Linked DNA regions of Arabidopsis thaliana. The protein of the gene in region 2 interacts with the protein of the main gene of each other region in a pairwise test. Each region holds a gene or a part of one and is shown on either strand. Other genes may lie near its edges.

Region 1 (6,589 bases), on a different chromosome or scaffold from region 2:
ATCCAAGCTACACAAACTTTTTAGACTTATTTCTCTCATTCTTCTAGAGATTTTTAATGAAATTTGTATATACTTGAAATGCATATAAAATAAATAAGAAAACAATATCTACTTAATGTCCTGTTCAAGAATTATTAAGAAATTTCACTACGTTGTTAAGTCCATTTTACTCCACCTTCTCCACTGGAGTTAGACTCTACTAAGTCGCGTTATCCTGCAGAGTAAAGATTGACTATGCATTGGACCTTGTCGATGTGAAAATGTTAAAAAGATAATTATTATGAAATCTCTACTATAACATATTTGGTTTCCTCAATTTTAAAATACCTATTTTTTTCTCAGTTTACCATTAACCAATCTATTCCGTGATATTTAATGTTTAAACCCTTCTTCAATTCTATTTAACCTACATTCTAAACAAGGTGTCCTCATTTTCAAAATCCTAAACTCATCTTCATCTATATTTCTATTTTCTGCCAAAATCATACCACAAAAAACATATACGAAAAATGACCACGGAAATTGTCTTTTATTGTTTATTTCCAAAGTCAACCAAGTTGACTGTTCTTTATATAATGATTTTTTTTTAAAAAATTATATATTGAGCTAAGAAAATATTAAGTGTAATTTTCAAAAAGAGAAAATATATTTATTATAAAAATCTATAGTGGTGGATCAAAATTCTGGTTTAAATTATTGTATCAATTTTGAGGTTCAAATTTTAGGATGGAAGAGAAACGTAGAATGCACTTAAAGTTCTGTCGATTTTTGTTAGTACATAATCCCTCATATAACCATACATATACTTATTGCAATAACCATACGTTAAGAATAGGGACCAACTTCATCGGTGCTTCTGTTAGACATTTCAAGAATGATATATCACATTCATGTATCTCCGTATATGTATTAAGACCAATGACTAAACTCAGCCATTGTAGATATAGTTCAGGTAAAACTGTCAATTGTGGATCAGTATGTTGAAAATTGTTAACTATGGTTCGCTTGTAACAGAATATAAATATAATAATAATATATAATACTAATAGTAATATATATAATAATAATAAAAAGCAAGCACTAATTATTTTATAGAAACACTTTAAAAAGTATTAAAATCTCATTTAAAACAACTCTCCAAGTTGGTAGTCCATTGATCTACAAGACAGCTCCACCTGAACCACATCCACAATGTAAAATTTAACCGTACACATAAACCATGATCATAAGATGCAACATGGTAAAATCTCTGGTGAAGTTTTCGTAATCGATGATGAATATATATATATATATATATATATATATATATATATATATATATATATATATATATATATATATACAATATATTTTTATTTTCAATCTATTTAGTAAGTACATATTTGTTATGAAAGTACAAAAATAACATTGTAATAGGTCAAGCTCTTTGTGGTGGTTTACATTGTAATAGGTCAAGCTCTTTATTATTATTTTACTATATGTATCTTCTTATCCATTCTTATATTTTATATCATATATGGTCAAAAGAACCAATCGTATCACAGCAGCATTTGTTAATAGAACTTTGATCTTGGTAATTACAGGTTCTATATTGAAATCGCAGGAGCCAAACCAGCAACTTGGGTTAATTATTAACTTCATTCACCAATAATAATAATTGATCGTCAAGACTATTTCGGACACAAAGACATAAATACTTGTTTTCTGCTCTCCCTTTCCCTAAATGTATCATTTGATACTTTCTCTTTTTCCCTCCATATGCCTTTTGTGTGTATAAATATATGTATATGAATAAGTTCACAAAAATAGAAAATTAAATCAAATCTTCGCGTAATTTCTCATCAAACTCCACTTTTCTTCTTTTTAAGAGAATCTAGGGTTTCTTCTACTACTTCTTCTTTCTTCTTTAGGTGGTCAAATTTCCAAGTTCTTCTTTTAGCTCTCTCTTTTGTTTCCAAGAAACCTGAGAAGAATTTTTGTAGATATGGGAAGAGGAAGGGTTCAGCTACGGCGGATCGAGAATAAGATAAGGAGACAAGTGACATTTTCAAAGCGAAGGACCGGTTTGGTAAAGAAAGCTCAAGAGATCTCAGTGTTATGTGATGCTGAAGTTGCTTTGATTGTTTTCTCCCCCAAAGGCAAACTCTTTGAGTACTCTGCTGGTTCCAGGTTTGAATCTTTCCTAAGCTAATTAATTTACCAACTTATTTTAAGATCGCATATTTATCTACATAAATATTAGCCTATATTTCATGTTTGACATATTGGGAAAAGTGGTATATATAGGTTTCACATAGAGGAGATTGATTTGAAATTGGCTGAGATTGTTTAATTAATTAAATCAGTTTATAGCCAATTTTGTTTAGTTCTTCCATCTCTAACTTAGAGAAGATCATAAAAAATGAATGATTGTACAATACTATATATTAAATCAAAAGAAGTGATTAATAGAGATGATCGCATCAAAAAATAATTGTGAGACATAACAGTTCCACAGATTATATATTATCCAAAAAATATGATGGAAGAATGTGCTAATTGGGCAAACATGATTACGAAATAATATACGTATTAATATAATTTGATTCTTGAGGACATATGTATATATGTTGAACATATCATGAATAAAGAGAGATCTTTCATTTCATTGTTGTGTAAGTTTGTTCTTCAACGTTCTGGAGATAATTAAAACATGATCTACATAAGTTTAAAGAGATATTTAATACAAAGTGTACAAAAAAACTTTAGAATTAACACCTGCAGGCTTAGGATCAAACAAGTAGATCTAATGCTCAAAGTTAGCTTACTTTGGCACTCATAGGAGACTTCATTTTATTTATTTCAAGGAAAAATATAATAAATTCAAGGAAAACGAATTTTAAAAAGGGTTCTTGAATCAAAATAATTTTAATGTTCTTCTTTTGGAATAAATCTGCTATTTACATTTTACTTAAAAATAAAATTGAATGTTGACTAAAATAAAAATAAAATGTTGACTATAATACAAAATAATTTTGGTGGTTTTAACTAACTGAACATATTCTGGTAATAACAAAACATTATTTATCAGAGAATTTAATATAAAAGAAATGAACTGTAAATAATAGCAATTTAATTTTTGAAAAATAAATCCAATTTTAAGATGACGATTTTTTTTTTTTTAGTAATTGTCAAAACAGAACAGTAAAATACTAGGAGACATAATTTGTGATGACACCGTCTAAATTATCTCCAAGGTTCATGTAATATCTAATGCGGTATCATTGGATCAAAATGAACGACACACCAAAAGAAAAACAATTATCTCAATATACACAAACATACTAAAGAGGGACAAGAAATCTACTATAAATAGAAGAGTCAGCTTTCGATCATGATTGTAGTAACTAATAATAGTAAACATGAAACTTTGATTTGATTATGTTAAAATAAAAATTTAAGATATACAGCTAAAATCTTGTTGGAAATTGGAAGCATGACAAGCCTTTGTATAGAGCTTTGTGCATTGCTTTGTCTTTTGGTTGGCGGAACCTAGGACTAACCTCGATCGTCACATGAAAATATACAAACCCATGAAGCTACTTTTCTAGCTTGTAGGCTTAACTAGAATGTTCAAAAATGAATTTGCTTGCAAACATATTTTAACAAAATTTGAGTAGACTTGGTGTATCGATTGCTATAGTCTAATCAATACATTCAATTAATGTATCAAATTGTTTGCAAATGTAGATTAAAGTTCTCGATATAGAGCTTAAATTAATTTAGAAATGTTTCAACTAAAGTACAAAAATGATTATTCAATATCTTCAATGTATTTGTTGAGTGATGATAGTATATACATCGAGTGTTGATTGTTGTTTGATATACTATTTTTTTAGCATGGAGAGAATTCTTGATCGATATGAGAGGTCTGCCTACGCCGGTCAAGATATTCCTACACCAAATTTGGATTCACAGGTTCTTAAGCACATTTAAGACATATGAGTATATATATATGAATCATTGTTTATGGTATGTTTATGGTAAACTTAACTATCGTGTATCGATCTTTTTATCATTTGTAGGGAGAGTGCTCAACAGAATGTTCAAAGCTCTTGAGGATGATTGATGTCCTGCAAAGAAGCCTGAGGTAAGGACTTATTACTTACGTATCATCCAAACATAAAATACATACCTAAGATATCTAAATATGTACAAGATAAGAAATTGCATCTTTATCAAATTATAAGGCACTTAAGAGGAGAAGAGGTGGATGGTCTAAGTATCAGAGACCTTCAAGGTGTGGAGATGCAACTTGATACTGCCCTCAAGAAAACTCGCTCTAGAAAGGTTATTTATATGTATACAAAAACATTGTAGTATATTTTCTATACATGCATGGATCATTTGTATATACAAATGTGTATATCTAATAATGTGCAGTTTGTGTATGCATAAATATACACAGATATATAGATAAACTACACCTAATCATGTAGTAATTATTGTTTTGGTTTGGGAGCACAGAACCAGCTCATGGTAGAGTCCATAGCACAGCTTCAGAAAAAGGTAATACACTAATTAAGAGACTATCGTTGTTATGGTTGTGCCTAGGCCTGGACGTTTGAGTTTACGGGTCCGGTTTTAGTTTGGTTCTATTTTTTGGTTTTTGAGTTTAGGATCCATTCAAGTAATTGTTTTGGATATTGTTTCCACCTAACTTTTGGTATTTCGAGTATTTTTGGTTATTCGGTCTAAAAATAACTAATTATTTTAGGTGTATAAAATGTATTTCGATTCGCTGAATATTTCAGTCTGGTTCCCGTTCTTTCAGTTATGAAGTTATAATCCATTCGGATATTTACGAATTTTGGTTCGTTTTTCTATTAAGTTCCTCTCGGTTTGGTTAGAGTTTGGTTATTTTGCCTAGGACTACTTTTGCCATGCAAACTCATGTATCTGCCTGTCTTTTTTTTCTTTTCGGGTTTGTACAAAACATTATACTTATAGTAGATCTTCACAATTAGTAGTCTTTGATTTTGAGAAATAAACACAAATACATATACTAGATCTTGAATACTTGACTCGATATGAGTTAAACTAATAAATATGTGTCTTTTCTTTTGATGGCATAGGAGAAGGAACTAAAAGAACTGAAGAAACAGCTAACAAAGAAGGTGAAAGTGATGTTAGAATCTTTGACTATATATATAACCAGTTTCTTATAAAATGTAGAATTCACTTAACTTTTAAGAGAGATTAGTCTAGGCGCTAGTTTGAACTCTCTCAATCAAGTGTCGATTTTAAATTTATATTTGAATGTTAAGCAATCGGTGACTGGTAAATAGTAACTATAACAAGTATTGAATTTGGCAGGCTGGTGAAAGGGAAGACTTTCAAACGCAAAACCTCAGCCATGACTTAGCCTCCTTGGCAACACCGCCATTTGAATCACCCCATGAGCTTCGCCGGACAATATCTCCTCCTCCTCCTCCTTTATCTTCGGGGTACTTTAAAGTTTGATTTCACATAGCTACAAAGATAGTAAAAATATAAATGATAATTTGTTAGTGTTGATCAATGATAGTAAGGTAACATATTATAGTTTGTATCAATATTTATTTATCGTGTATATGAGATGAATTAATAAACTGCTTATAGGGATACATCACAAAGGGATGGAGTTGGAGAAGTAGCTGCCGGAACCCTAATTCGAAGGACGAATGCAACGTTGCCTCATTGGATGCCCCAGCTCACCGGAGAATAGAGGTCCGAAACAATCTTGGTTTTTTAATTTTCTGTACTTAATATATAGTACCGGAATAACTTCTTGAGTTAAGTAGAACCAATCCGAATAAAAGAAAATATCTTCTGGCTTGGCATTCTAGGAACAGGCTTAAGAGGCCCTCAAGTTTCAAACTTTGAACGAATTTAGAAACATTGTATGTCTAATGTGATTTTGTATATTGTATCTACGATTTTCACTTTACTGTTTGTGAAAAATGTAATTTCAGTGTAATGAAAAAGAAGAAAAGAACTATAAACTATATTTTTTATGACATATTAATTTCTATAGAAGGTAGGAGAAAACGTTTAATCTATTTTAGAAGCGTTTTGTAAACAGATTTTGCTAAAACAAAATACTTGACAATGTTTGGTAATTTTCTAAAAGTAATTACGATATTTTTTTCAAATAGTCTTGACTATTAAATATGCCATTCAAGAGTCGTCCTCACACTAAGCCGTGTGAACCAATTTACGACTCTGCCTCGCCACGCGATTCCTCCACGCCTTAGCATCGCCGGAGAAAGAAATATTGATTCTCTGCATTGAATTTCATTTTTTCCGGGAGATAGAAACATTTGTCATATGAAAAAGTGTGACTTAAAAACTATAGATTAAAGTATTTCATATACATAAGACGATGTCTTGGTTTAATTTAGACCTTTATGTTGCCATTTGTCCATTGTTATCTTTTATTTATCGATATATTATAGTTTGTCTTGAATAAATCAAACTTCGATATATTTCATTTTGTGTTTTTCCATTTGTCTAATTTATTTTTCTTTTATATATAAAAACTTTTCTTTTGGCCATGTAGCAAATATTG
Region 2 (4,169 bases):
TCTTTTGTTCACAGAAAATTCCTTCATTCACAATTTCTCTTTTAAATAATTAAAGACCACAAATTTTGAACATAAGAATTAGAAAAATTAAAGATCATTCACTAGAGTAGTCGACATTATTATTAATTTAGTATAAATAAATAAGGTGTGAATCCACGTGGGATGACAGGTGGGAGCGAAGTCTAGTGCATGTCATGTAAGATTTTGATTTACTTTCAACACGCTTCATCGCTATTTGGACCACTTCGCTGACTTTTTTTTGTTTTTTTTTTTACTACTGAGTAGTACTAGTATTTCTTACACATATCAGAGCCAAAAATACAACCCCGACGAATCTTTCTTTAGATACAAATAAAAAATATTTACTCCTACAAGTTTCATTCACCGTACGTTTTACTTGTTATATCATTGCAATGACGCGGCTTCTAAATATGTACTACCATATGTGTGTTTGGGAATCTGACAGTTGTATATTGCACTGGATCCAAACCATTTCAGAACAAGAGTACATTTTCTCTGTTCGTACGCATTATTTGTTTTGTGCCGACTGCGAATATAACGATTTCCATTTATTCATATACTAAATATCATACAATCCATAAATGAATAGTCTTCTTTTTTTCTTGGGGGAATTTACAATTCCAATCAAATTAATTTCTTAGCTAATCATAACGGTAGTCTTGTTTTCTGTAACTTAATTCTTCTTCTTTTTTATTTTGATAGGAACGTTAGGTATCTATTATGTAAAACTTGCTAACAACAATTCTCTAATTCTTTGTTTATATCTGATCTCTTCCTCCATGACACGGGGCTAATCTAAACTTCTAAAAGCATATTGATCCAATAGCTTATTTAATATATTTTGTCTGTCAACCATTAGGTTACTTTTGTTACGATGAATTTTTCAAAAGAAAAATACAAGAATTATGGGATGAGGAAAATCTAGTGGGTCAATTGACCATAAAGGCTAAATCGGATTGAAGAATAAAAATCGGATTGTGACTCGTAACTCGTAAGCGTGACGAAATATTAACGCAACATTTATATGTATTGGGACAAATTATTAACGAATAACTACCAAATGCAAAAAATACGAGACAGTTGAGTACTTGAGCTTGGTCACAAAATCATCATCAAGGAAAAACAATAACCATACAGTAAAAATATAGTTCTACAACTTTACAAATTTGAAAGCGTGTTTAGAATGATGCACACAAATAATCAATCTGTCAAAAAAAAACATATTGTTTGATTTTACTCTAAGATTAAGGCGATTGTTTTTACTTAAGATATTCTTAACTGATGCAAGTTACCCCTGTAATTGTTTGAGATTGCTATTTTTAAACTCTAGAATACGAAGAAAAAAAAAGTATGAATTATTTAGTTAGCTGCTTTAAATCTAGAGTTTATCATCCGAAAAAGGGATATCTAAGCTTTATTATTTTTAATGTAATCACGAATTGTGTCCTTTTCACCAAAAGAGTCATTCGTGTTCGTATTTTATTCAACTAAATAATTCTATAAGTTCTAGTATATTCAATAATTATTAAAAAATCTCATCTTAATAATTTTAATTAGAGAAAAGAACAAAAAACTACACTTCTATCGTCCCTCTACGATTTCACACCTTCTTTTCACACATCCTTATAAATTAATTAGATTCTTCTCTTTTCTCTCCTTCCTCTCTGTCTTCTCTTCTTTTTTTCAATGAAACCTCTCTTCATTTATAAGTAACCCAACAAAAAAATAAAATTATCTCCCTCTTATTTCTTCTCTTCACGTCACAAAGACAATTCGATTCCAAATAATGGACCGACGTAACCCTTTCCAACATCACCACCACCACCATCAGCTTCATCATCACTTGATCCAACAGCAACAGCTTCCTCCGCCGCCGCTGAGCACCACGGCGACGATGGATCCCGGCGGAGGAGGAGGAGGTGGGGAGAGAATCCCACAGTGGAGCATAGAGGAGACAAAGGAGCTTTTGGCTATAAGAGAAGAACTTGATCAAACTTTCATGGAGACCAAACGTAATAAGCTTCTTTGGGAAGTCGTGGCTGCTAAGATGGCCGACAAGGGTTTTGTCCGAAGCGCAGAACAATGTAAGAGCAAGTGGAAGAACCTCGTCACTAGATACAAGGTTACCCTTCAACTCTTTAGAATCCTATTGATGATTCTCTCTATATATAGTCCCGATATATACACCTATAAATGTTTAGTATGATCATGATTACAAGTATATACAAACTATAATTATGTGTATCATGTATTTCATCACTAGTTTGTGTGGTTAGACTGATATTATGCATATTGAAATGGAAACCTAGTTTATGGTGTATGTATAGGTGAACTACATTATATATACATCAATTAATGAGCTTAACCTAATCGCCTAGGTTTTTTAGATATTGTCCTGTCATTAATGGTAACGAGCTATAGAATAGAATTTTACGCGTTTATTGGTGAGCTTTCATCATGATATTGTCTATGTTCACATTTTGATCCGTTATACCATAATATCTCTCTTTTTGTTCGTTGATCACATGGTAAGTAAGTAACACAATATGCCATAAAAATATAATTACCGTTATATAACGGGTGCATAAGATTTAATAAGAACCGTTACTGATGAACACATGAAGATAGTTGAAAAAGTCTATACACACATTTATTTAAGGTAAAAGAAACGTGATATAGATGATGAACATGTGTTTTTGTTTTCCTATGATATATGATTTCGAGTTAAGATACTTGGTTAGCTAAAATATTTTGCGTCGGTACTATTACGTGTTTACATATAATTGTTTATATAACATAATGAATATTCATGGGACAGGCGTGTGAGACCACTGAGCCAGATGCTATTAGGCAGCAGTTCCCATTCTACAATGAGATTCAGTCGATTTTTGAAGCAAGAATGCAAAGAATGCTGTGGTCAGAAGCCACAGAACCAAGCACTTCCTCGAAGAGAAAACATCATCAATTTTCATCTGATGATGAAGAAGAAGAAGTTGACGAACCAAATCAAGATATCAACGAGGAATTATTGTCTTTAGTAGAGACACAGAAAAGAGAGACAGAAGTGATTACTACTAGTACTTCGACCAATCCAAGAAAACGTGCAAAAAAAGGAAAAGGCGTTGCGAGTGGTACGAAAGCTGAAACTGCGGGTAATACACTAAAAGATATATTGGAGGAGTTTATGAGGCAAACGGTGAAGATGGAAAAGGAATGGAGAGATGCATGGGAGATGAAGGAGATAGAGAGGGAGAAGAGAGAGAAAGAGTGGCGGAGGAGAATGGCGGAGCTAGAGGAGGAAAGAGCCGCCACAGAAAGGAGGTGGATGGAGAGAGAGGAAGAGAGACGGTTGAGAGAAGAAGCTAGGGCTCAGAAGAGAGATTCTCTCATCGATGCTTTGCTTAATAGGCTTAATAGAGATCATAATGATGATCATCATAATCAAGGTTTCTAAGTTCTCATTATTTGTGTTAAGCATAAGTTAATTAGCTAGTTAATTTGTTAGGCAAATCAATTTAGATAATATATCTAAATTAATGTTTGTTTTATAATATTTATATGAACTATTGAAATTTCCAAAAAGAAAGATAAATGTTCAAATTTTGATATATGTTATCGTGGTATGAAAATGAATTTATCCTTCTAAAAACAAAAAAAATCCTGGTGGAGAAAAATAAACCTTCAATATTAGAGGAAGAAAAATAAATAGAGAGGGAGTAAAACGAGCAGGCAATTACTAAATATAATATAAGGTAACATGTGAATTAACTAAACGATAAGAATAAGAATTAATAAATCATTTAATAGTTTACGTACATGCATAAAACAATTGTATAGATATTAATTAGATATGCTAGTTTGAATTATATTGTTCATAGTTATAGGTGTCCAAAACCAAATTGGTTGAATACTTTTAGCTACTTTATTCTGTTAATAAGAATATTTCATAACGATTAATCAGGCGATAAACAAGAATTAAACAAAAGTCTTTATTCCAAAACTTTCAATTCACATTTGTCCCACATTACTTCACCGCGTTATTTGTGTGATATATAAAACTTATTTTGTTCATAAGTAAATTGTAAAGAAAGAATTTGTTATTTTTATTCTTTTCTTCTCTTGCAAGACAGCTACCAACAGATAAAAAT
Region 3 (2,647 bases), on a different chromosome or scaffold from region 2:
AGCGATCTTCGTGACTATAATGCCTGTAAGGGCTCCTATACTTCCGCAATGGCTATGCCTGTTTTTGTATCTTCCATATAACTGCCTCCTCAATCCACTGTCAAGAGAGTCAGGTGGTTTTAGTACAACATAGGAAATCTATATGAACCACACATGACAAAAGAAGAAACATGTGACATGCTAATGCTTTTTACTGTTGAATTTTGGGATGATTTATGTACGAAGCTACTTGTCAACAGTACGAGGAAGATACTTGCAAACAAGTAGCTTCGTACATAAATCATTCCCAAAATTCAATCTCCTGAGGAAGAAAAAGTTACAAACCTCGAAATCTTTTTGCATACATCAACACCAGGAGTGATAATATCGGGACGTTGATTGATGATTTTGCTGCAGATCATGTACAAAGAAAGGCTTTATTTACTTGAACGATTATGCAATGAATGTTTTGAAGGATGTTCTGTTGTCCTCTGTTTTTTTTAGTTGTCGATGTTCTCTTTTCATCAGATTAATTAGGAATCGTTTTTATCACAACTAAGAAATGTAATTTTCTTAAGTTAAAATTTTTTTTTAGGGTCCTTCTCTCGTGATTGTACTGGGTCCAGAAATTGTTTGAGCCGGCCCTGCTGATACGTATTCGAAAGGAGAAGCGTTGGGCTGATACTTGGTTTGGTGTAGAGACGAGAGCATCGATCTCCGTTACGACAAACGCCGATTTTGAAGTAGAAAGGACAATTCACGCGATCTTTCTCCGTTCCGTATATTGACGCTAAGTGCTCGACCATCTTCCGATTGCTTTTTGAAGAACACGAAACTCTTTTCTTCTTCTTGGACTAGGGTAGGTCTCTCTCTGATACTTGCTATGCCTATGGATGTTTCAAGAGATTTAAGTTTATTTACCTTTTTACCCCTTCTGTTTTAACTATTTTCAATCCAACCACAAACTTATGTTAAATTTGGCCAAAATGCGATTGGGCTGAAGCCCATAATCTATATAAGTGAAGAAGACGAGCGCTGCAAGAACGGTTCGACACAACAGTGTCAGTGCTAGTGAACAGTCAGGTTATAGGGTTTCGTTGCTTTGGTCGTCCTTAACTTTAGGCTTTGATAGTTTGGTTGTGAAGTTCAATGGGGTATGAGAAGTTCACTTGGGTGATTAAGAATTTCTCATCTTTGCAATCTAAGTACATTAATTCTGATAAATTCGTTATCGGTGGCTGCAAATGGTAAGAAGAAGACAAGTTTGTTATATCTCTAATTTTGTTTTTTTGGTCCAACTTAGGGTTTATGAGAACATCTTTCCATTTTTTCTATGGTTTTTTTGCTTGCAGGTTTCTTAAGGGATATCAGAATGCTAATTATTTGTCTCTGTTTCTGATGGTTGCTACTTCAAAAACATTGCCTTGTGGATGGAGAAGATACACACGATTTCGCCTAACTGTTGTAAATCAACTTTCCGATGAACTTTCCCAACAACGAGGTGATTTCTATAAGGCTTTTGGACAAAGCAAAGTTCCTATTTTTGTGATTTATATTTCTGTCTGCTTGTGTTTGTTTTGAGTTAGATCAGTTCTATCTTTTCTTTGTCTATAGAAACGGAAACATGGTTTGACCAAAACGTTGTTCTCTCTGGGAATCGACACATGATTTCCCTTACCAAACTTAATGCGAAGAAAGGTGGATTTCTTGTGAACAATGAAGTCAAGATTGTTGTGGAGGTTGATGTTCTTCAAGTTATTGGCAAATTAGATGTTTCAGAGGGATCTCAAGAAGTAACTCAACCTCTGAAAAGGATAAGGCTAAACGATGATGGTGTTTCCGTAAAACAAAGCATTGATGTCAATGGGTTTCAGGTTCTTCCTTCACAGGTAACAAGTTCATAAAGATTCAAACTTTTTAGATGCTTTTCATTAGATAGGAGGAACTGATTTCAGATGCTTTTCAAACTTATAAGTCTTACCAGTTCCTTCTTTGTTGTTGCTGACTTTGGATTAGAGGTGGTCTCTTTTTCTGTTTAGAAATTATCAGTAGAACACTAAGACAATGTAGGGAATAAATGGCATCTTTATAATCTAACCATTCAGTTTGTGGATACGTATACAAACTATACATGAGTTTATACTTTATCCATCTTTTTTTACAATTGTAGGTGGAATCGGTGAAACGTATCTTTGAAAGACACCCAAACATGGCACTAGAGTTCCGAGCAAAGAACCAACATGTGAGGACATCATGTATGAATGTCCTCCTCAGCCTAATCGATACACTGTGCCAGTCACTGCAAGACATTTCCATTGATGACCTGGGCCAGGCAGAGAAAGCACTAAGATACCTGAAAGATTCGGACTTTAAGGTGGATTGGTTAGAGCGTAAATTGGAGGAAGTGAAGGAAAAGAAGATGGAAGAGCAGATTGGTAAGTCTCGGATGCAAGAACTAGAGGAAGAGCTGAAGATCTTCAAGCAGAAGTGCTCTGACATAGAAGCTCAACTGGAGAAAGAGAAGCAAAAGTGCTCAGACATAGAAGCTTTGCTGGAGAAAGAGAAGGCAAAGTCGTTGGCCGCTGCCAGAGCTCCTCCTCTAACGTTGGATGATGTTGTTTGATGACTTAGGCTCCGCTAGGTGTCAAAATTAACGTAGGCAGCTAGA

The links.
Region 1: the proteins of AT5G01380 (region 2) and AGL79 interact in a two-hybrid assay, tested with the Arabidopsis thaliana proteins (one large-scale study listed by BioGRID).
Region 3: the proteins of AT5G01380 (region 2) and AT3G44785 interact in a two-hybrid assay, tested with the Arabidopsis thaliana proteins (one large-scale study listed by BioGRID).

The regions. Positions count from the first base shown.
Region 1 is NC_003074.8:11,907,135-11,913,723, forward strand, and holds AGL79 (AGAMOUS-like 79), read left to right. Parts: upstream 1-1,735; 5' UTR 1,736-1,984; coding exon 1,985-2,169; intron 2,170-3,878; coding exon 3,879-3,957; intron 3,958-4,064; coding exon 4,065-4,129; intron 4,130-4,229; coding exon 4,230-4,329; intron 4,330-4,506; coding exon 4,507-4,548; intron 4,549-5,114; coding exon 5,115-5,156; intron 5,157-5,355; coding exon 5,356-5,486; intron 5,487-5,640; coding exon 5,641-5,746; 3' UTR 5,747-6,032; downstream 6,033-6,589.
Region 2 is NC_003076.8:155,090-159,258, reverse strand, and holds AT5G01380 (Homeodomain-like superfamily protein), read left to right. Parts: upstream 1-1,657; 5' UTR 1,658-1,807; coding exon 1,808-2,143; intron 2,144-2,839; coding exon 2,840-3,475; 3' UTR 3,476-3,649; downstream 3,650-4,169. UniProt on the Arabidopsis thaliana protein: Probable transcription factor that binds specifically to the core DNA sequence 5'-GTTAC-3'.
Region 3 is NC_003074.8:16,327,664-16,330,310, forward strand, and holds AT3G44785 (Zinc finger C-x8-C-x5-C-x3-H type family protein), read right to left. Parts: upstream 786-2,647; coding exon 558-785; downstream 1-557. Other genes in the region: AT3G44790 (TRAF-like family protein), read left to right, coding at 1,129-1,226, 1,332-1,480, 1,594-1,868, 2,150-2,602.